5 linked regions of the Canis lupus familiaris genome follow. The main gene of each other region encodes a partner of the protein of the gene in region 2 in a complex. Links are inferred from orthologs where the notes say so. Each region holds a gene or a part of one and is shown on either strand. Other genes may lie near its edges.

Evidence for each region.
Region 1: the proteins of KRAS (region 2) and MAPKAP1 are in contact, whole or in part, in a crystal structure (PDB 7LC1), measured with the Homo sapiens proteins. The link is inferred for Canis lupus familiaris from reciprocal best matches to the Homo sapiens genes KRAS and MAPKAP1. Residues at the interface, in NP_001356715.1 of Homo sapiens: Ile21, His27, Val29, Glu31, Asp33, Pro34, Ile36, Glu37, Asp38, Ser39, Tyr40, Arg41, Leu56, Glu62, Glu63, Tyr64, Ser65, Ala66, Met67, Asp69, Gln70; in NP_001006618.1 of Homo sapiens: Phe280, His287, Gly288, Phe289, Ser290, Leu291, Ile292, Gln293, Lys307, Lys310, Arg311, Arg312, Lys313, Gly314, Ser315, Phe363, Glu365, Ile369, Val374, Met377, Leu378, Ser380, His381, Tyr484, Glu487, Ser488.
Region 3: the proteins of KRAS (region 2) and SOS1 are in contact, whole or in part, in a crystal structure (PDB 8BE4), measured with the Homo sapiens proteins. The link is inferred for Canis lupus familiaris from reciprocal best matches to the Homo sapiens genes KRAS and SOS1. Residues at the interface, in NP_001356715.1 of Homo sapiens: Ser17, Ala18, Ile21, Gln25, Asp30, Glu31, Tyr32, Pro34, Thr35, Glu37, Tyr40, Asp54, Ile55, Leu56, Asp57, Thr58, Ala59, Gly60, Gln61, Glu63, Tyr64, Ser65, Ala66, Met67, Arg68, Asp69, Gln70, Tyr71, Arg73, His95; in NP_005624.2 of Homo sapiens: Lys602, Trp809, Thr810, Lys814, Leu822, Met824, Ile825, Arg826, Thr828, Thr829, Thr832, Leu833, Leu872, Val875, Ser876, Asn879, Ser880, Ser881, Pro882, Tyr884, Ser908, Asp910, His911, Tyr912, Lys913, Phe929, Phe930, Gly931, Ile932, Leu934.
Region 4: the proteins of KRAS (region 2) and RGL2 are in contact, whole or in part, in a crystal structure (PDB 8B69), measured with the Homo sapiens proteins. The link is inferred for Canis lupus familiaris from reciprocal best matches to the Homo sapiens genes KRAS and RGL2. Residues at the interface, in NP_001356715.1 of Homo sapiens: Ile24, Gln25, His27, Val29, Glu31, Asp33, Pro34, Thr35, Ile36, Glu37, Asp38, Ser39, Tyr40, Arg41, Lys42, Tyr64; in NP_004752.1 of Homo sapiens: Ile651, Arg653, Glu660, Asp661, Gly662, Ser663, Val664, Tyr665, Lys666, Ser667, Ile668, Leu669, Lys685, Lys686, Asn688, Arg689.
Region 5: the proteins of KRAS (region 2) and RGL1 are in contact, whole or in part, in a crystal structure (PDB 7SCX), measured with the Homo sapiens proteins. The link is inferred for Canis lupus familiaris from reciprocal best matches to the Homo sapiens genes KRAS and RGL1. Residues at the interface, in NP_001356715.1 of Homo sapiens: Ile24, Gln25, Glu31, Asp33, Pro34, Thr35, Ile36, Glu37, Asp38, Ser39, Tyr40, Arg41, Leu56, Tyr64, Met67; in NP_001284600.1 of Homo sapiens: Ile651, Arg653, Asn660, Gly661, Asn662, Met663, Tyr664, Lys665, Ser666, Ile667, Met668, Lys685, Asn687.

What each region holds. Positions count from the first base shown.
Region 1 is NC_049230.1:57,531,861-57,535,970, reverse strand, and holds the start of MAPKAP1 (target of rapamycin complex 2 subunit MAPKAP1), read right to left. Parts: upstream 2,809-4,110; 5' UTR 2,534-2,808; intron 1-2,533. UniProt on the Homo sapiens protein: Component of the mechanistic target of rapamycin complex 2 (mTORC2), which transduces signals from growth factors to pathways involved in proliferation, cytoskeletal organization, lipogenesis and anabolic output.
Region 2 is NC_049248.1:24,281,360-24,285,429, forward strand, and holds the start of KRAS (GTPase KRas), read right to left. Parts: upstream 2,808-4,070; 5' UTR 2,665-2,807; intron 1-2,664. UniProt on the Homo sapiens protein: Ras proteins bind GDP/GTP and possess intrinsic GTPase activity. Plays an important role in the regulation of cell proliferation.
Region 3 is NC_049238.1:31,306,584-31,310,882, forward strand, and holds the start of SOS1 (son of sevenless homolog 1), read right to left. Parts: upstream 2,806-4,299; 5' UTR 2,731-2,805; coding exon 2,644-2,730; intron 1-2,643.
Region 4 is NC_049233.1:2,891,190-2,895,353, reverse strand, and holds the start of RGL2 (ral guanine nucleotide dissociation stimulator-like 2), read left to right. Parts: upstream 1-1,357; 5' UTR 1,358-1,518; intron 1,519-1,725; 5' UTR 1,726-1,766; coding exon 1,767-1,925; intron 1,926-3,133; coding exon 3,134-3,217; intron 3,218-3,452; coding exon 3,453-3,631; intron 3,632-3,761; coding exon 3,762-3,812; intron 3,813-3,901; coding exon 3,902-4,164. UniProt on the Homo sapiens protein: Probable guanine nucleotide exchange factor. Putative effector of Ras and/or Rap. Associates with the GTP-bound form of Rap 1A and H-Ras in vitro.
Region 5 is NC_049228.1:17,072,929-17,076,436, reverse strand, and holds part of RGL1 (ral guanine nucleotide dissociation stimulator-like 1), read right to left. Parts: intron 2,225-3,508; coding exon 2,100-2,224; intron 723-2,099; coding exon 507-722; intron 1-506. UniProt on the Homo sapiens protein: Probable guanine nucleotide exchange factor.

The sequences.
Region 1 (4,110 bases), on a different chromosome or scaffold from region 2:
CAAATTAGCTCATTAAATATTCACAACACTCCATGAGATCAATATTATCCCCCTATACCAACCCATACTTGAAGAAAATAATGACTGGAATTAAGAAACTTGCCAAAGGTCAAGGAATAAGAGTAGGGACAGGAATTAAATCCAGAGACCACGTTATTCTCTATAGAAGGTCTTCCATTCTTATATTGAAAGTTGAACTGACCCACCTACTACCTTCTCGCCTTGAAAGATCACAGTTTTCTCTACATTTAAAAGACTCTTCTGGGGGAGGGGGGATCCCTGGATGGCTCAGTGGTTTAGCGCCTGCCTTTGGCCCAGGGCACAGTCCTGGAGACCCGGGATCGAGACCCATGTCAGGTCCCTGCATGGAGCCTGCCTCTCCCTCTGCCTGTGTCTCTCTGCCTCTCTCTATATATATATCTATCATGAATAAATAAATAAAAATCTTTATTAAAAAAAAAAAAAAAAAAGACTCTCGGGAAGCCCTGGTGGCTCAGCAGTTTAGCGCTGCCTTCAGCCCAGGGCCTGATTCTGGAGATCTGGGATCGAGTCCCACATCAGGCTCCCTGCACGGAGCCTGCTTCTCTCTCTGCCTGTGTCTCCACCTCTCTCTCTCTCTCTCTCTGTCTCTCATGAATAAAATAAAAAATCTTTAAAAATAATAAATAATAATAATAATAATAAAATAAAAGACTCTCTGTAACATTCATTTTGGCATTCATATTTTTTCTCTTTTATAGTTTCTTCAATATATACTTGTATATAGTGTTATGGTGTGTGAAAGAAGGAAACACATAATGAAAAATGCACAGATGTAGGCATGGGACAGACGTGGGGTTAAATCCTGCCTGTCTCGTACCAAATGTGTAATTTATCCCGAATCTTCCTAATCTGTAAATTGAGGCTAAAATGATTAAGAGAAACCTAAATATAGTTTCAGCACATGGTAAATAACCACATCATGAAGCATTACCTGATCATAGCACACTCCTCGAAAGTTAATACCCCCCCTCACCCCCATGCTATCACTGCATCACAGAAAGTACCTTCACACAGTGTACTTATCACTGTCTTGAAATTATTTCCTTATCTCTCTCACTAAATTGAGCTCCCCACAGGCAAGGACTGAGTCTTACTTATCCATACATTGTCTAGCATGGTACCTGGTGCATGTGTATGTGTTCAGTAAATGTTTGCTAAGTGAAATTATTATAGATATGAGTATTTATAGGATTCCAAAAAAGAAATCTTTCCCAACTGGGGTTGTCTCAAATTGGTGGAGGGAGACCAATTTCTGCTGGGCCCTAGGTAACATCTCAATGAGTAGAAACAAAAGGAGAAATCTAGGCAAGGAGAATGTCCTACAAAAAAACAATGGACAAAGAGAAAACAAATGGGATCTGAGGTGCTACTTATCTAGAGTAAAGGATCAGGGTATAGAATTAAGGAAGGGGACTTTTTCAAGCATAGCTGGAGCCACATCAAGAGGCGTAGAATGTGAGTAGCCTGGCACCACAGTGATTGAAAGTAGATATGAGCATAAAGCTAAATGACAAAGGGGCCACAAGCATGCCTCGCAGGCCCCAGCAAGTGTGTAAACTGAAAAAGATGAACACAATAATCAATGTTCATCAAGAATTCTTTCAGCATTGACTAAGCACCTTGTATGGGCTCACCGAATGAGGAATAAAACATGGTGCCAACTTTTCCTGTTATACTAGGATTTTAAATGAACAATCCACCCCTTTTACTTGTGAGACATAGAATGAGAATGTTGACTTTGTTTGAACTGCCATGTGTTAAGACCTGTCTCCATTTGTTCACATCTGGGAAGCTTTGAACTTCGATGGTTTTGGTTTAAAACATGATGCTTCGCACCGTGCCAAGTACTGTATGGAACAGGCTTCAAAAATTAGGTGCATTCATTCCAAATAAAATCTCAACCAATTTCTGAGTCAACTTTTGAGTCTCCAGTTAAAAGTAATAATCTTGTTTAAACTACTTTTTTGTTTTTTGTTTGTTCGTTTAGCCTTAACCAGATTTAGAAGACCCCTTTGCCATTCTCATAAAAAGCTGAATCCAAGTTCCAGCAGCACTCCAGCTAGAAATAAAAAATAAAAAAAAAAAAAAAAGTGTTGCGAGGCCGCTTACTCCTTTGGGACAATTGTGGAAAAGGAACGCTAAGGAAACAGGGACCACAGAGACAATGCTTTAAACACAATTTTCATGTTACGAAGATTAGGACAACTACATGTTGCCAGGTGGTAGGACCAGAAACTGTCAGAGCCAACCCTCCCCCCCACCCAACACTACCCAGTCCACGGGCTTCTCCTCCCCCAATCAGACACCCAAGCTGTCAGGCTCACAGCAGCCTCCAGTTCTGGAAAAGATCAGGAAACGGATGCTCAATGAAGCCCTGATCAAGGGCCAGGCAGGCTACCGACGCAGGGCAGCGCCCAGAAGGGCCGCTTGGCTCCTCGGGTAGGTTGACCCGAGAGTGAGCGAGGAAGCTAGCGGCTGGGGCAACCTTTACCTGAAGCTGCTGCCACACTACGGGTCGGATCGGCCCGGGGATACGTTCCTGAGGGAAGGGCCCGGCTTCCCCGCGCCTCCCGGTCCCTGCCCCGGCCTCCGCACTCTCGGAATCCTCGGGGACTGGCGCTCCTCCCCGCCGGTTCAACTGCCGTTTTTCTGGCTCGCCCTCATGCCCCCGTCGCTCGCCGCCGCCGCCACCAACGCCGCCGCCGGAGCAGCAACCCTGTTGCCCCAAGTCGCGCCACGACCCGGAACCGCACCCCGCGCACCGGAAGTCCCCGACCGGGAAGAAGCCGGAGCTGGGGACGTAGTGCGCAGTGCGCAAGCCCCAGAGCCGACGGCTCGGAGAGGAGCCCTCCCGGGGGGCGGGGCCGAGCGGGACGTGGTGGTACGCATGCGCGGCCCTTCTGCGGTCGGTGTGAGGCCGGGGTCGGAGCTTGCGAGCTGGGGATGCGGCGGGACGCGCTGATCCGTGGATTCGCGTCGGATAGGGATCAGCATTGGGGTTCGCGCTCACATTTCCTTGGTTCTGCATGGAAAGAAGCCCTCAACCCATCCAGAAATGAGTGATGAGACAGCTCCGCCTCTAGGTCACGAAGACTTGGGTTCAAATGCCAACCGCACCTTGTGTAGCCTCGGAAAGACCCCTGTCCTGGCTGTCGGTTGTGTCATCCGGACAGTAGTTCCGATTTTATTTATTTTTTTTTTAAATATTTTATTTATTTATTCATGAGAGACACAGACTGAGAGATTGAGAGAGAGGCAGAGACACAGGCAGAGGGAGAAGCAGGCTCCATGCCTGGAGCCTGATGTGGGACTTGATCCCGGGACTCCAGGATCACACCCTGGACCAAAGGCAGGTGCCAAACCGCTAAGCCACCCAGGGTTCCCCAGTAGTTCCGATTTTAGAGTATTCCTGTGAGAATCGAATGGGACGATACTTGTAAAGCATTTAGCACAGTGCCCGACGTAAACACCTAGTAAGAATGTTAGTTGTTACCTCTATTATCTGTAAAATGGGAATAACTATCTTCCTCAAGAACTGCAGGGAAGTGATTGTGTGTGTGTGTGTGTGTGTGTCGTCTATATTTCAATATTTCAAATTTCAATATTTCAGATTTCTATATTTCAAAAATGAAAAAAATTTTTTTTTTTTTTTTAAAGAACTGAAGGGAGGTTTCCATGAGCTAAGAGGACTGGCACAGAACAGGAGCTCGCTGTTGGCCTTGTGTCTCCTGACAGAATGGTTGGAGGAAGACACCGTGAAGGGGAAAGAAAGACCCGGGTTGTGCAATATGATCTCTCTCCTAAGAGATGGCCTAGAAAGCCTCTCAAAAATGCACCTTGGCAAAAAGAAAAAGGGGAGGGAGGAGGCCCCAGGGCAACATCACACAACATTGAAGTCACCAACAAATACTCCACATATCCTCCCCCATGTTTTCAAATATGTGATTGATCTCTTAGCTCATACAGGAAAAAAAAAAAACAACCACAACCACCTTGACACCCAAATGCTCTTTTGCACACACAACGCCACAGTTCCACTGGGGACCTGTTGGAGGTGCTCTGCGAAAG
Region 2 (4,070 bases):
TGATTTTCCAAATGATAACATATTAACCGTTACCTCCTTAAGCTATTTTAGTCTTCTCACAAAGAACAGTTAGGCTACACAATTGTTATATTACAGCTCCGTGGCCTATTCTGTGCCACCTAGCCTTATGTGCTAGGCCATCATGGGAGCCTCTACAAGCATGTATCTTATCCTGTTCACTCCCACTTTTTATTCCAACAGGCCATAGGAAATGGGGAACAATGAGAAGAATCACACCAAAATGTACGCCACCTCTCTGCCTATCCTTCCCCCTCAACAATTTGGATAGCCTAGAACAGTAGTTAATCAAACTGTCATCCAAGAGAATCCAGTAGCATTACTAAAACTTTTGGGGGTCCAAGAGGTCAAAACCACACTAATAGTAACAATACTATTACTACCACAATGTTATTTACCCTTTCCACTCTTTGCACAAGTGCAGAGTTTTCCAGGCGTGATCACAATACAGTGAACACAGAACCAGATATACAGATGTCTTCTATTAAGCAATATAGTTAAAGAAATTAGCAAAAATGTGAAACAATGCCACTATTCTGTTTTGAAAAACCGTTTTCATAAAAATGCTATTATGTTACCAAGTAATAGGCTTATTATTTCTATTTTTAAATGAATTAACCAATTTTTTTAATTCTCAGTTTTAATTTGTATTAGGGTACGTATCGACACACCCCATATGGGGATCTTCAATAATTTTCAAGAGTATAAGGTGTCCTTTCAACTAAAAAGTTTGATAGCCTAGGAGATACTGTGGACAGATGCCAGACTAGAGCTTAACTGTGTGAATTCTGAGAGACACACACCTTCTGGTGTCTACCTGTTTATGCAGCCGTTGTTTCTGGGGAAGAAAAAAAAAAAAATCCCTGTATTGGATTTTAGAAACCAAATAATATTTAAATCCACTAGACAGAACTGGGTTCCCACGGAGTCTTACTGAAGATCATAGCCCAGAAAGAGCCGCCCTCACCCATAGCTACAGAGGGGTAAAGTGGGACTAGAACCCAGTGTTTTGTTACAGGAAAAAGAAAGTCACTTGAATCATAAAACTGAATTATCCTCTCATCTACAGTCTCTTAAAATCAAGTATGGCTGTGGATGTCTACAGTCTCAAAGTAAACAGTATTGATATCAACCGTATTTGGTGTCTATAGTCTATCATATGGTCGAGTCAGCACGTTGGACCTTAGTCACCTAAGAGTGACATCACTCATATGGTTGATTCTGAGATGATGATTAGGAACAGAATTTTTCCCTTTGTAATTTCTATGTAAATGATTTTTTTTCCCCACTACAAATATAACATGTATATTGTATAAAAATCAGAAAGTACCTTTCTGCTTTAACTCTTATTTTGATAAATGCCAAGACTTAAGAAGGTAGCTTAGGACTTCTGCTAGAGCATACACATGCTTAAGAGTATTTCAGGCAGTTGGCTGGGAGACTGCTACAATTAAGTCCTCTTTGCAAGTCAATTTAAAAAAACAAAAAAAAATGTGTGTGAGTGCCATTTAGTAGTACTTCTTGGGATGGGGGTCAAATTTGTGAGGACAAAGGTAATATACAAGAGACACGGGAAAGGACAAGAACAGGCAAATTAAACTTTAAGTAGGATTCTAGCTATTGCTGTCTACACTCAACTAGCAAGGAAAAAGCCCTGTTTCTGCTCTGCGGGTTTTGTGTGTGTGTGTGTGTGTGTGTGTGTGTGTGTGTGTGTGTGTGTTTTAACTTGACAAAGCAAAACAGACCTTCTGGGATTAACTTTTTCCTTTTCACGAAGTCACGGGCTTTACGTTGCAGGGTGTTGGCCACCTGTTCTTCCACCACCATCTCTACCTCCACCTCCTCCTTTGTGGCCACAGCAATGTCACAGCCCATACATGGGGGAGGGGAGCAGTCAGGAACTCGGCTGCAGATGCATTTTTTTTTTTTTTTTTCCAAACACAATAACCACCAACAGTGGTCTCCTCAGCACTTTCCTCGGCTCTTCCGAAACGTGACCTTCTCCTATTACTCCCATACCCACCCTATACTCTGAAAAGGACCACTATCCGTCCGGTCTGCGCTCGAGGGAGAAGTTTATGCCTCCGTCCTAGAGATGCTCGATGCAGCAGAGGAGGAGGCAGTAACCGAGGCAGCCGAGGGCTGGGAAGGGAGGAAGAGGTGCGGGAGCGAAGGGAGAGGGAGAGAGAGAGAGAGAGAGAGGACGAGGGGGAGGGGAGCCTGGAGAGCATCGGGAGTAACCTCCACCGCACCCGGCCGCCCCGAGGGGCAGCCCGCCCAGCCCGCGAGTTTCTCCGCACCCGGCCGCCTCCGGCCGCGGCTCTCGGGGAGGAGGAAGGAAGGGGTTCCCCGTCCAGGAAGCAGCCCCGGCGGCGGCCGCCTCCAGCCTCACCCTGCTCAGCCCCGCACCGCCCATTCCTCATTCCCCGCGTCGCCGCGTCCCCGCGCCCCCGCGCCTCCCCCTGCAGACGCCCCCGCCCCGCCCGCCCGCCCGCCCGCCGGGGCCCCGCGCCCGCGCCCGCGCCCCCTCCCCGCCCCGCCCCTCCGGGGACCCCTAATTCATTCACTCGCCGCCGGCCCCGCCCGGCGCCGGCGAGGAGGGTCGGGACCGGGGCAGGGGCCCGGGAGGGGTGGTCCGCGCCGTACCTCTCTCCCGCACCTGGGAGCCGCCGAGCCTCTGGCCCCCGCCGCCGCCTTCAGTGCCCGCGCCGCGCTAGCTCCCCGTCCGAAATGGCGGGGGCCGGGAGTACTGGCCGGGCAGCCGCCACCGCCGCCGCCGCCGCCGCCGCCGCCGCCGCCGCCGCTGTGCCTCCGCCGCCGCGGCCGCCGCCTAGGGAAATCGAGCTCCGAGCTCACCGATGGGTTCGGGGCCTGGCGGCCGCAGAGGGCAGGACCATCGATGCGCGCGGCGCTCGATTCCTCGCCAGACCGGCGTGCGGGGAGGGAGCGGCTGAGGGCGGTGTGGGAAGAGGGAAGAGAGGGAGCCCGCGAGCGCCGCCGGGGAGGAGGAGGAGGAGGAGGAGGAGGAGGAGGAGGGGAGGAGGAGGAGGGGCCGCGCCGGCGGGCGGCGGGCGGCGGGGGGCGGGGGAGCCGGGCCGGCGCAGCCTCGGCGGTCTGGGCGGCACCCACGCGGCGGCCCGCCCCGGGACTGCGGCCGCAGATCCGCACCGGCCGGGGGGCGGGGGGCGGGGGGCCTGCACGCGCCGGGAGCCCGCGGGGAGCGACCCCGCCGCACGCCCTTCGGGAGCACGCGGAGAAGCCGCGAGGAGGCCGCCGCCCGCCGCACTCGGGCGCGTTCAGTTACCGCCGGTCGAGCAAGTAAATAAACATGCGGGGAGCAACTGTGGGAGGCGACTCCGGGCACTTAGGGACCCTGACATCCGGCAGACAGCTCCCCCGCGCGGGACTAGTCCACGCCGCCGCTCGCCTGGGGGTGCACCAGCCTCCGCACCCGGGGGGCTCCCCAGCCCCAGCCCCAAGCCCGAGCGGGCGTGACACAGGCTTTCCCCGGGAGGAGGTCTGTTGCTTTTCTGTTGTTGTCTTTAGGGAGGTTTCCAAGTCATCACAGGTCGTTCTAGGCAGCGACCTCAAAGGTGCCTACTGCCCCTGACGGCACAGACCAGACAAACTGTTCAAGTAGAAGAGCCCCGTGATAGTTTAGACCTGGGAGAAGACCCCAGATTAATCGGGTAACGTGCAGGGAGTTAACACGCTCAACAACGGAGCAATTAAAACTGCTGCCATATCCCGGAGTCTGATAAACTACCTAGAAAGGTAAATTGTTGGGGTGGGTTTTAAAAGACCGAGGCCTGGGGGATCCCTGGGGAGCTCAGGGGTTTAGCGCCTGCCTTTTGGCTCAGGGCGTGATCCTGGGGTCCCGGGATCGAGTCCTGCGTCGGGCTCCCTGCATGGAGCCTGCTTCTCCCTCTGCCTGTGTCTCTGCCTCTCTCTCTATGTCTATCATGAATAAAAAAATGAAGACCGAGGCCTGGCCGACCAGCGTCTGTACCTAATAGGACCACCTAGCTGAATCTCTACTTGCAGTTCTCTCT
Region 3 (4,299 bases), on a different chromosome or scaffold from region 2:
GTGCCTGGGTATGGGGAGGAATAGTAAAAGAGAGAAGTAAGAGATGATTCCAAAGTTTTGAACCAAATAAAATAATAAAGCCCTAATCAAGAGGAATTTTTTAAATAGTCAGTGTAAGGGAGAGAGGTGACGGTTTTAGTTTGGGTATTCCCTCACCCATTTAGCCAAATTATGTGCCTACTAGATAAGTATCAGGCACTGAATGTGTGAAGGGTAAAAAGAGGGGTAAAATACCATTCCTATTCTCAAGGACCATCCAATCTAGTCCTGGGATGGGGGAGATGGCTAAATAGGAACTCACAACTCACTGAAGTGCTAGGGTTTGCTGCTAAAAGAAAATAAAGACTATCCAACTCAGCCCTGAGGATTTGAGAAAACACCTGAGTTAGTGTTGGCCAGGCAAAGGGCAGTCCAGGTTAAGAGAATAACATAACAACAGAGCCTCAGGTAAGAAAACACAAGTTGGGCACTTGTTTCTGCAAACAGTAAAATAAGTCTAAAGGAAGAGTTCAAAATAGGGAGCTATCCACATGAAATGTCTAGCAAGCAGGTGAAAATGCAGGTCTGAGCTGCCAGGAGTGCATCCAGATATGCAATAGATTTTCAACCTCATCTTAGGTGGCTTAGAGTCAAGAGCAGAGGCTATCTCAAATAAGAATTGGAAGAATCTTTACTTATCAGCTAGATTGTGTACACTTCCACCTCCCCCCATCACTTCTGTCATGCAAGGTTATCTCTGCTTCAAGTCAAAGCAGGTTTATGTAAATAGGCAACGAGGACCGGTGGGGACTGTGAAAAATTGGAGATGCATGCCCAGTCTAAAGAGGAAAGCCATTCACTCAGCTCCAGCAGTTTACGGTCTTGCCCAGTGGGGAGAGACCTTCCTATTCTTCAAGAAAAACTGAAAATTCAGATTTTACGTAACATCTCCCACGTTTAAATACTGGCAACTAATTACATTAAAAGTTTGTAAAAGAACACTGTGCCAGCCAAACAAAATGCTTCTATGGAAAATGCTTCAGCAAGGGCCACCAGTGTGGCAGTTAGACTTGATCTGCCAACTCCTACAGTGCTCTTTCCATTACTTCACAGTACCCTCAACTAACAGACTATCTTGATGGTTCCCTGGGACAGGAGTTGTTTGCTCCTAAGCCAAACAGCCCCAAACAGATTGGGTTTTATGAGTTCTTCTGTATGTTCTCAACAATGTCTCTGTCTCCTCCCCACTCCACCCCCACCTCCATCAGTACCAGGCTTCTATCATGACTGAGACCTCCTACTCCCCTCTTATAAGCTAAGACACCAAGATTACAGGTAAAGTAAAAAGAGTTGAGAGCCCTGATGGGATAGCTAATGAATACGGTATATAAGGAATATGGCATCTCTCTGGTTTTCTTAGAAAACAGTATCACAGAGATGCCTATTACTTACTCAGACACTTAAGGAAAAGAGTCAGTAACTTATATCTGAAAAAAATGAGCAAATTCGGCTAACTAAATAGTTTCCACTGTAAGCTTCCAAGGAGCTGTTGGGGGGGGGGGGGGGGGAGTGCTGCGTAGGGCAAAAGGGAAAGTAAAAGTTGCTGGCCTTTGGGAAACATCAGGCACCTTTTAAGACACAGTTTTTAAAAGTATAAATGTTTAGAACAAAAGGTACACCACAATCTCAACTCTCAGTAGGAGCAAAAATATTTTTAATAACATAAAAAACATTTTTTGAGCAACAAGAAATTGGGATTAAGCAACACTACTAAAGTAATCTATTTATAGAAAAGGTAAAAGGGAAACAAAAAAACACCGTTTTTATGTTCAAACACATCAGTTTCTGACGCTTTGGTGTTTGTCACAATGTTGCTTTAGAAGCTTTTAAAGTGTAGCAACAATTCCTAAATGTACTAAAACATTTTAAAAGCACAGATCATGGAGTGTACAACTTTAGATAACAATGTGGCAAACTTGAAAAAATACAGAAAGGCTGAAAATCCAAATTAACAAAGCAAGATAGAATGAAGATTCTCGGACGCTGGGGGGGGGGTGGGGGTGGGGGTTGGGGAGGGAGTAGCCTGTGCACCCGCCCCTGTTCCCCGGGGCAGTGGGGGAATCCGGGGGAATGAAGAGTGATTACAGAGGGCGAGCAGAGCAGGCCGTGTTCCGGCTGGCAGGCGAGCTCTGCAATTACCCAGAGCCAGCGGTGTGGCTAGAGCGTTCTCGAGCCCACCGAAAACAGCACACTGGACACCTAAAACTGGAGGCTGACAGCAGTTCCCCGGGCAAGACGGACAAGGCGGAAAAGTGGCCTGCTTTGACCTCCGCTGCAAGCTGAGCCTCCCCCAACTCCTGCCTGCGAGTCGGGGGGGCAGGACAGTCACCTCTCCGAGGCTGGATGATTCGGACAAACTCTGCCTGGCTTCCCGAGGCCTTCCCACACACCCGGTGAATGTCAACAGCGAGCCGGCGAGCGTGGGGGAAGCCTCCCAGGCCGGGAAGAAAGACGGCCCAGCGCGCGCCCCGCCTCCCCGGCCCGGCCCTTCCCCGGCCCTTCCCCGGCCCTTCCCCGGCCCTTCCCCGGCCCTTCCCCGGCCGCGGCCCCGCGCCCTCGCAGGGGCTGCAAGCCGGGAAGCAGGGTCCCGCGCGCGCTCCTCACCTTCTTCAGCGCCGGCACCAGCAGCCCCCGCCACTTGGGTGCGTTCTCCTCGCTGAAGAACTCGTACGGCAGCTGCTGCGCCTGCATGGTGCCCCCGGGGCGCCTCTGGGCGGGGAGAGGGGCGGCGGCGGCCGGGCCGGGGAGCCGCGAGAGGGCGAGCTCGCAGCACCCAACAGGCCCGCGGCCCCGCCGGACGGCCCGGCCCCCTCGGGGCGCCGCGCGGCCGGGCTAGCCCCGCAGAGGCGGCTGACGGGCGAGGCCCGCGCCCGGCCAGCCACCCGACACGGGCACCCGCGGCGGACAGCGAACGCAGCCCGGAGGCGGCGGCGGCGGCATCCCGCACCACCGCCCCGGGGCCGGGCCCCCCCCGCCCCTCCCCGGCCCGCCGGCGCCGCCCCGGGCTGCCCTCCGCCGCGGCCGCCGCCCGCCGGGGCTACGCTCCCGGGCCCGGCCTGGCCCCGCGGCGCGGCCGGCGGCTGGGGGAGGGCGTGTGGAGGGACACTCCGGCCGCGGCGCCCGCTCCGCGCGGCGGGGACCCCGAAACGCAAGCGGCCCGGGGCGGAGCGGGGCCGGGGCGGAGCGGGGGAGGGGAAAGGCCCGAGGTCGTCGTCGGAGGATCCGGCTGCCCGGAGGTGCCGCCGCCGACGCCGGTGTAGCGCTCCAGCTTCCTACTAGCGAACTGAACCTGCTCGCTACTGAGCATGCGCCGCCCGGCGGGGCCGGTTCGCTCCGGGTTTTCCGGCTCCCCAGCGGAGGAGGAGGGAAGCGCGGGAGGGGGGGCGCCCCCGAGGACTGCAGGGGAGGAGCCAAACGGCCCCGAGGCGTCGAACCCTGGCCTGCGGGGTGGGGTGCGAGCTACCGCGAAGCAACCCCCATTGTGTGCTTGGGTCGCGAGGGCTCCCACCTCTCGGGAGTCCCCGGGCCTTTAGTTTCGGAAAGGGGCGTGTGTGTGTGTGTGTGTGTGTGTGTGTGTGTGTGTGTGTACTTTGTTCCTGAACATGAAGACCTGCCCAGGGCATGCAATGTATAGTAAACAGACTGGACAAAAGATAGGTGCTTTTCTCACGAAACCTACTGCTCGATATTTGTCGGGTAATAGAAGTGATTGCAGTATTTCCCATACGTCTCCCCACCCCCGACCCCAAGATTTATCACCAAGAATAAAATGCGTACCTGCAGCGTAGATTTTGCGTGTGCGTTTTGAGTTCAATATGTTCATCTTTCAAAGCCACTTAAATTTGAACGCCTTTGAATAAATTATTTATTTAAGGTGATTCTTAAAGAATCACCTCCGTGGAAACAGACCTCTTTCGCAGCTCCCAGGTCCCAGAACGTGGGGCACTTGGTTTATCTGTTTTGTAATCTCTCCTGGCTCTCTGAACTAGATAGCAAACTCCTGCAAGGCAGATCTTTTGCACCACGGGCTCTACACAGAATAGGCACTTAGTGAATGTTTGGGGAGCGCTAAAGGAGCATTATCTACAAACTGTTCATCTCAGGGATGCAGGTGTTTAACAACGGCACTGTGTGGCTGGCCCTCACGGTTTACCATTAAGTGCTTTTTGAGCACAATCTCGTTTAATACTCATAGCAATCCCATTGTATTCATTTCACAGATGAGACAGTTTAGAGAACTAGCTTTGGTTAAAGTTGATA
Region 4 (4,164 bases), on a different chromosome or scaffold from region 2:
CGCTCCCGGGACTGCCGGTTCCTCAGAGGCAGGAACGTGTCCGTCCGTCCGCCGCGTGGTCCCTGCTCCCGCACAGGCCCGGTGCCCGCTGGAGGGCGCTCAACGCAAACATTAGTCCTTTTTTCGTCCTCTGTATTTGAAAGCCAGTGTTGGACGAAGTAACTACTGGAGGAAGGAAGTGGCAGCTCGGACTAGGGACCTCCAAGGGAGGACGGTCAATTAGACCGAAGCGGGTCTAATCGTGCGGGAATAGGGATCCCTGGGTGGCGCAGCGGTTTAGCGCCTGCCTTTGGCCCAGGGCACGATCCTGGAGACCCGGGATCGAATCCCATGTCAGGCTCCCTGCATGGAGCCTGCTTCTCCCTCTGCCTATGTCTCTGCCTCTCTCTCTGTCTCTCTCTGTGACTATCATAAATAAAAAAAAAAAAAAAATTAATCGTGCGGGAATAAAGTTGTGTCCTATGCTCCCAACAGGGTGTCTCCTTCCACCCCACGGGTCCCCCTGGCAAGGGAGCACAGGCTCTTAACAACCACCTCTGGTCCCTTCTCTTTTTTTTTTTTTTTTAAAGATTTTATTTATTGATTCATGAGACACAGAGAGGCAGAGACACAGGCAGAGGGAGAAGCAGGCTCCTCGCAGGGAGCCCGATGCAGGACTCGATCCCCGGACTCCAGGATCAGGGCCTGAGCTGAAGGCGGCGCTAAACCGCTGAGCCACCCGGGCTGCCCTCACCGCGAGCGCTCAAACGCTTTGGCGACACCCCAGTCCCCGGCACGCTGCAGGGTCGGGGGCCACCAGCGGCGGGCGAGACGCCCGGTGCCGCGGGCTCCGGGGAAGGCGGGGCGAGCCCAAGGGAGCGCACGTACCACGCAGAGCGCCGGAAACGCGGGACAGAGGAACCGAGAACCGGAAGTGGCGGCTTCCTGCCCCGCCCCCTTACGCGAGGGCGGGAACCCCGCGCTTCTCGGAAAACGCGGACTGGATTCCGGTCCGCTACAGGCGTGGGTGCGGGTGGGGAGTGTAACCGCGTCAGGGGGAGTAAGCGATCCCTGTCGGCCTAAAACGCTTCCCCCGGGAGTTTTAGCTTCGGTGTTGTCGGGGGGCAGGGGAATGTCAAATCCGGCTCCTATCCTCCCTCGGGGTCGGGAGACGGGAATCCACTCGGATTGAGTGCGGGGCGGCGTGGGCTCCAGGATCCCTGAGCGGGGGCTCCGAGGACAGCGGGCGGGGGCCCGTGACTGCTGGGGCCTGGCCGCTGGGCGCCCGGCGCTCCCCGAGTCCGCGGCCCTGGCTCCTGTCCTCACTTCCTTCCCGTTTTGGCTCCTGCAGTTGGAGCAGGCGGACGTGGGGGGGGGAGGGGGCGAGCGGAAAGGGCGGGAGGGCCCGGGAGCCTGGCGGGCGGTAACGGGGGTGCGGAAAAGCCGAGGAGGGGACTCGGGCCAGGGACTCGGTTGGGGACCGGAGACCGACGGGAACAGCGGCCCGGGACCCGCGCTGCTCCCACCGTTCCCGAGCAGGTCAGAGCCTGAGCACCCTGTGACCCTGCCCGTTCCCGTACTCGTGACCCCCAAACCCCAGATGCACCAGGGACCCCCATAGCCCACTCCTGTGTTGCTTCCCTCCCCAAACTCCCGTACGGTCACCTGGGCACTCACCCGCGTCCCTCCCCTCCCCGATCCCCCGCGCCCACCTGACTCTCCACCTGCCCCCCCGTTTCTCCCCAGGCGCCCCCATGGCCCGACCCCGCTGATTCCTTCACTCGGCCATGCTCCCGCGGCCCCTGCGGCTGCTTTGGGACGCGAGTCCCCCCGGGGGAGTCGTGCTGAGCAGCTTCCGGAGCCGAGACCCCGAAGAGGGTGGGGGCCCAGGTGGCCGGGGCGTGGGCGGGGGGCAGGAGGAAGAGGAGGAGGAGGAAGAAGACGAGGTGAGACGCGAGTGGTGGGAAGTCGGGAGGTGGACATGTCGGAGACGCTCTGCCTCGCCCTCGGGTCTCTGTCCCTCCTCTCTCCCTCCGGCCTCCTGCTGGGTGTCTGCCAGTCGGCCCGGCGGGGAGTCCCGGAGTTCCTGGGGCTCCCGCTGGCGGTGGGACTCAGCACTGGCCCGCGGGAACCTTCCCTGGCTCTCCCCGCCCCGGCCCCAGGGCGCCAGCCTTTCCGGCCGTCGTGTCTCGGTCCCCGTCGCCCTCCGTGTTTTTGTTTGGCGGGGTGGGGTTTGTTTCCACAGTAACCGGCCTCTCCGACTCCGGGATTGGGGAGGGAACCCTTCGATTTCGTGACCCCTCCCCCTCTCCCGCTGGGCCGCGAGTGGAGGCGGGAAGCCCGGGTTCTCGGACTTTGGAGGGAACATCCCAGGCTGGGCCGGGGGGGTCACCTGCTCTCCGCCGGGACTAATGGTGGTGGCCAGGAGCGGGATCCGGGGCCCCAGAAGGGGCCAGAAATTGGATTCGGGGCCCCGAGGCCCAGGACTCCTGGGTCCAGAGCCTGGGTGAGGGCAGGGTGACTGGCAGGGCTGGTTTTTCGGGATCGGTTGCGGGAGGGGCTGGGGCCACGTGACCCTGAGTCGGCTGCACAACCCCCCTCCCCATCATCCCGACTTCCCCTTCTCCTTCCTGTACTGGCATTGGAGCCGCCACCTTGAGGGGGTCTCCCAGCACTGAGGGACCAGGGAAGGGGGGCTCCCCTGAAGGAGTAACTCTTGGGGCTCGGTCAGTTCCTGCGGGGGAGGGCGGAGCTTGCGGCTGTGCCCGTGACTGAGGTTCCAGCTTTCAAGGCCTCTGCCTCTGGCTTTCTGCCTTTCTCGCTTCCCCCTCCTATCCTTCGCACCTTGCTTCTCTGCTGTGTTGGGGTTCAGCTCTGGGGGGAAAGGGCGACAGAGGTCTCCGGGCCCAGGGTTCCTGCATTCCACCCACCCCCCCACTGCCACCCCCTCGACTCCACCGGGCCCTGAGGCGGCTTGGGGGGGGCTGTCTAGGCCCCAGTGGGGGAGACCTGGGGTCACCAGCCCCCCCCACCCCTCGCACTCGCTGGTACTGTTCCCCGCCACCACAGGTGAGGGGTACAGAGGGAGGATTAGGGCTGGGGGCAGTAGGGGGTGGCGTGGGACTGTCTCACCTCCCCTTCCTTGCTCTGCCAGGCCCCTGTGTCTGTCTGGGATGAGGAGGAGAATGGTGCCACCTTTACTGTCACAAGCCGCCAGTATCGGCCTCTTGATCCCTTGGTGAGATCCTAACTTTGGCTTCTCACCTCTGACCCATGACCTCCCAGTCTCCTGTCCTCTGGCCAACTCTTTGGAGACCTGAACTCTGCCGTGTGACTTTGGTCAATCAAGTTTTTGGCCGTCTCTGAATCTTCGTATAACGAGCCCCCAGCATTTCCTGAGTCTGGGATTTTCCCCAGAGGTCTAGGGGCTAAGTTGAAAACAGGGTCAGTGACTTTCCTTCTGTCTCCCCCAGGCCCCGACGCCTCCCCCTCGGTCCTCCAGAAGGCTCCGAGCTGGCACTCTGGAGGCCCTGGTCAGACACCTGCTGGATGCCCGGACATCAGGGGCTGACGTGACCTTCACACCAGCTTTCCTGGCCACCCACAGGGCCTTCACTTCCACCCCTGCCCTGCTAGGGCTTGTGGCTGACAGGTCAGGGTCATAAGGGACCAAGGATCATGGAGGTGTCTGGACTTCTTAAAGCCAGAAAATCCCCCCAGAATAGTCAAAGCCACTGGGGGCTTGGGGAAAATGGGCAGATCGAATCTCTTCTCCTTCCTAGGCTGGAAGCCCTCGAATCTCATCCTACTGATGAACTAGAGAGGACAATAGGGTGAGTGACCGCTGATTGTTAACCTCACAGTCCCCTCTGGCTGAGCTGCAGCTTGATAGCTGACCCCTGGCTGATTCCCCTTCTCCCAGGGTAGCCACCTCTGTACTGTCAACCTGGCTGGCCTCTCACCCTGAGGATTTTGGCTCTGAGGTCAAGGGCCAGCTTGACCGGCTTGAGAGCTTCTTGCTTCGGACAGGGTATGCAGCAGGGGAGGGTGTTGGGGGGGGCAGCGCTGACCTCATCCGCAACCTCCGGTTCCGGGTGGACCCCCAGGCCCCCGACCTTCCTAAGCCCCTGGCCCTCCCCGGCGATCCCCCTGCTGACCCCACGGATGTCCTGGTGTTCCTCGCTG
Region 5 (3,508 bases), on a different chromosome or scaffold from region 2:
TCTGTGCATCTCAGTCCTTTAGCAAAGAGATTCAGGATTCTGAGACAGCACCAGCTCTTTAAATCTGTAGAAGATACAACGCTTCTGGGTGCTGGAAGTGTGCATAGGTAGGTAATCATTGTGTGGAAGAGTCTATCTGACACTTAGACAATATATCAAGTTCAATTTACTGAACGTAGGCAGAATTGACACTCAGTTTGTGAATATAAGGGGAAAAGCAGACGCTGTGCTGGAGACACAGCAGTGTGCAGGCCCGTAAGCAGAAAGAAGAAGCATGCAAGGGACCAATTTTCTTTAAAGAGGAAAAAGAAGCCCCTAAGTTAAGAGAGGCATTTTTTTTTTCTTACTTTGGAGGAACAACAATAAGAGCAACAAAAAACCCAATGGTCGTTCACATATGATTTGATTGCCTTGCCACTGACTGCATAGACCCATTTAAACAGAGAGATGGAGTAGTCTCTACTATCTAGTATAAAAACAACGAATATTTTTAAAAAGACAATTACGTGGGCAATGTTGATCCACTTCTCGATGACTTTGGCTCTCTGCTGAGTTTTGAGTTCTTTGCCCCCCAGTATGGTGCTGACAACACACTTGGTGAGCGTGTTAAACTGAGAGATGGTAGCACGGATTGTAGGAGCCAAATGTTTGTTCTCCTTCTTATCTCTTCGAGACCAAATGCAGCCCAGGCAGTGGTGAGGCACTACTTTCTTGAATAGTTGCTAGAACAAAAGAGAAACTGACTTTAAGGACCACGCAGACATTTCATTCAGCAAAGCATGTCATCTGGCTCATCTGTGAATTGATATTTTGTAAATGCACAAACAACCCTTTTCTACTTGACTTGCCTCAACCGTGTCTATTTCAATGGACAGGAGTAAATAATTAATATATTAACTGGTCAGAAAAGCCCACATGTTCCTTCTAAATCTGCTGGACTGAACAAATGGAACACAATGGCCAAAAGACCATTTTAAATGACTGACAACATTTTGACTTATATCTCAAAAAACAGGTACAAATCTATAGTAGTGGTTCATATTCATGGTGCATTCTGGGCACTCAAGATCATGAACTGTGTACGATGCGTATGGATGCCCAATGACCACCCGACAAGTGACCCAAAGAAGTACAGTGCATGTGACATCGTCATCATGTTGCTATTTTACATGATTTTAAATGAAAAAAAATAAGCATATAAAGGGAAAACCCATTCAATGTCACAGAGTAAAAGGAAGAAAGGAATTTATAGCCTGTCTTTGCCTAAAAGTCATCCAATGAAGTTTCCTACCTTTCTTTCATGCTGTCAGTTGTGGAACAAAAACAAAGGCAAATTCGTTGGTCAAATCTGATTCTCATCTGTATGACAACTCAATACAAGACATGTAAGGGTTTGTATGGAAGAGAGAACACCAGGATTTACTTTATGTAGACTCTCTGATTTGCTTCTGATAGTTTGTGTGCTCACTAGATGGAAACTGTCACTCTCTCTTCTGTTTTCTTCAAAAGCGGTAAGTGAAGAAGAGCTAAAAGCATCAGGATGATCTATAATGGCCCTCTTTTCTTTAACTGGTGTTAACCAGCTACCATTGCACTATGACATGTGACTAATCAAATTTGTATGGCTAACAAACATATTCAAACTTTAAAAGCATGGGAGCACACATAGGAATGAACTGGCAGATAGAGTCACATGTGGATTCAGCGATCTTATTTTATCCTAACTTATACTTTGACCGCTTTACAATCCTCCAAATAAACAGTTCAGATCTTGAAATATTTATGAGTCTAGAGGCAGAGAAAAACCCACGGAACAGGGTCGATTTTGTTTCACGAGAATTAGAATTCTTACTTCCCTCCGTGTATCGAGTGCCAAGTAAAAAAGCACCTTCCCCCAGAATTGCAAGGAGAGCTTAGGCCTGAATTATTCAGATGATTGATTCAAGTCACATCTTCTCTCTGCATTTACAGGCACAGCCTCTCTCAAGGATTAGAAAAGACTTAAATCACATTACCCCACTGCCCTCCCCAGGCCACTGGTATGGTCAGTCCCCACATTTTAAGTAGAAGCACATCTCAGGCACAGAAAGAATACATACTGCGTCCATATAGGTCAGCTGCTCCGCCACGAGATCTTCTGGGAAGCACGTGAATTCTGCAGGCCCTCCACCTTCCAGTTCCTCTTCCTCTTCCAGGCTGAAGAAGATGGTGTTGGGAAACCCATCTGCTCACAGAAGGGGAAAAAAATGAGTACTTTGGTGCCAGTGTTTATGACCTTGTTAGTAGAGTCAAAGTGAACTTCTTTCACTGAGAAAGAAGATGGCGAATCCTTCTAAAAACCCATGGGAAGAAATGATTAGCACAATTAATCTGAGGGAAATGGAGCTCTGCTTCATCTCTGTTTGGAGATTCTTTATTAAGTTCAGAGGACTCATGTTACCCTTTGATAAACCAGATTCTTAGGCCAGGGACAGAGATGGATTAGGCAAAGTCAGGCTACATTCTGGGGGTTTCTCTCATCTTGGGCTCCCCTCCTACCTCTGCTTGGTGTAAAGACTAATCAAGCCACTTCCTAAGCCCCAATGATGCAATTTTTAATGACTGGCCGTTTATAACCAGAAACCTGGAAGGAATGGGAATGAAACAAGGCTTTGGGGAAGTAGAATGCACCCTCTGGGTGTCAGGAGTGCCGATGAAGTCCTCAGAATTCTAAGAAAGTCCTTGGAATTCTCAAGATGTTTGGGGCAGCTTTCGGTTTCCCACCTCAAGTTAAGTATGGGTGAAGCAGAAGAGCCTGAAGCTAAATTCACCTGAGCCTTATTATAGATAAGCTCCACCATTAGCAAATCACACAGGGCAGAGACTGAAGAAGTGAGAAAAAAAGATCACTTTAATAACCATCTGGATTTCAACCCAAAAGCTGAAGGACTCAGCACACGAAACAGGAACTCCAGACTCCATTCTGAAAGATGGTAGAATGGATGAAATTGCATTTGCACCCCAGCAAATGGAACCTGGAACCTTTCCTGATTCTTGGGGTTCCAACCTCATCCCCCAACCTCATCCCCTTCACACTCCCTGCTCTCCTGTCAAATCTGTTCTCAAAACAAACAAACAAACAAACAAACAAACAAAAACCCCAACATGTAGTTGCATTCAGTTACATCTTAGTGGAAACTTAAATCAGTGTTGTTACTAGAGAATGCTTCAGCCCAGGGTGTGATCCTGGAGACCCGGGATCGAAGTCCCACGTTGGGCTCCCTGCATGGAGTCTGTTTCTCCCTCTGCCTGTGTCTCTGCCTCTCTCTGTGTGTCTCTCATGAATAAATAAATAAAATCTTAAAAAAAAATTTTGGGATCCCTGGGTGGCGCAGCGGTTTGGTGCCTGCCTTTGGCCCAGGGCGCGATCCTGGAGACCCGGGATCGAATCCCACGTCGGGCTCCCGGTGCATGGAGCCTGCTTCTCCCTCTGCCTGTGTCTCTGCCTCTCTCTCTCTCTCTCTCTCTC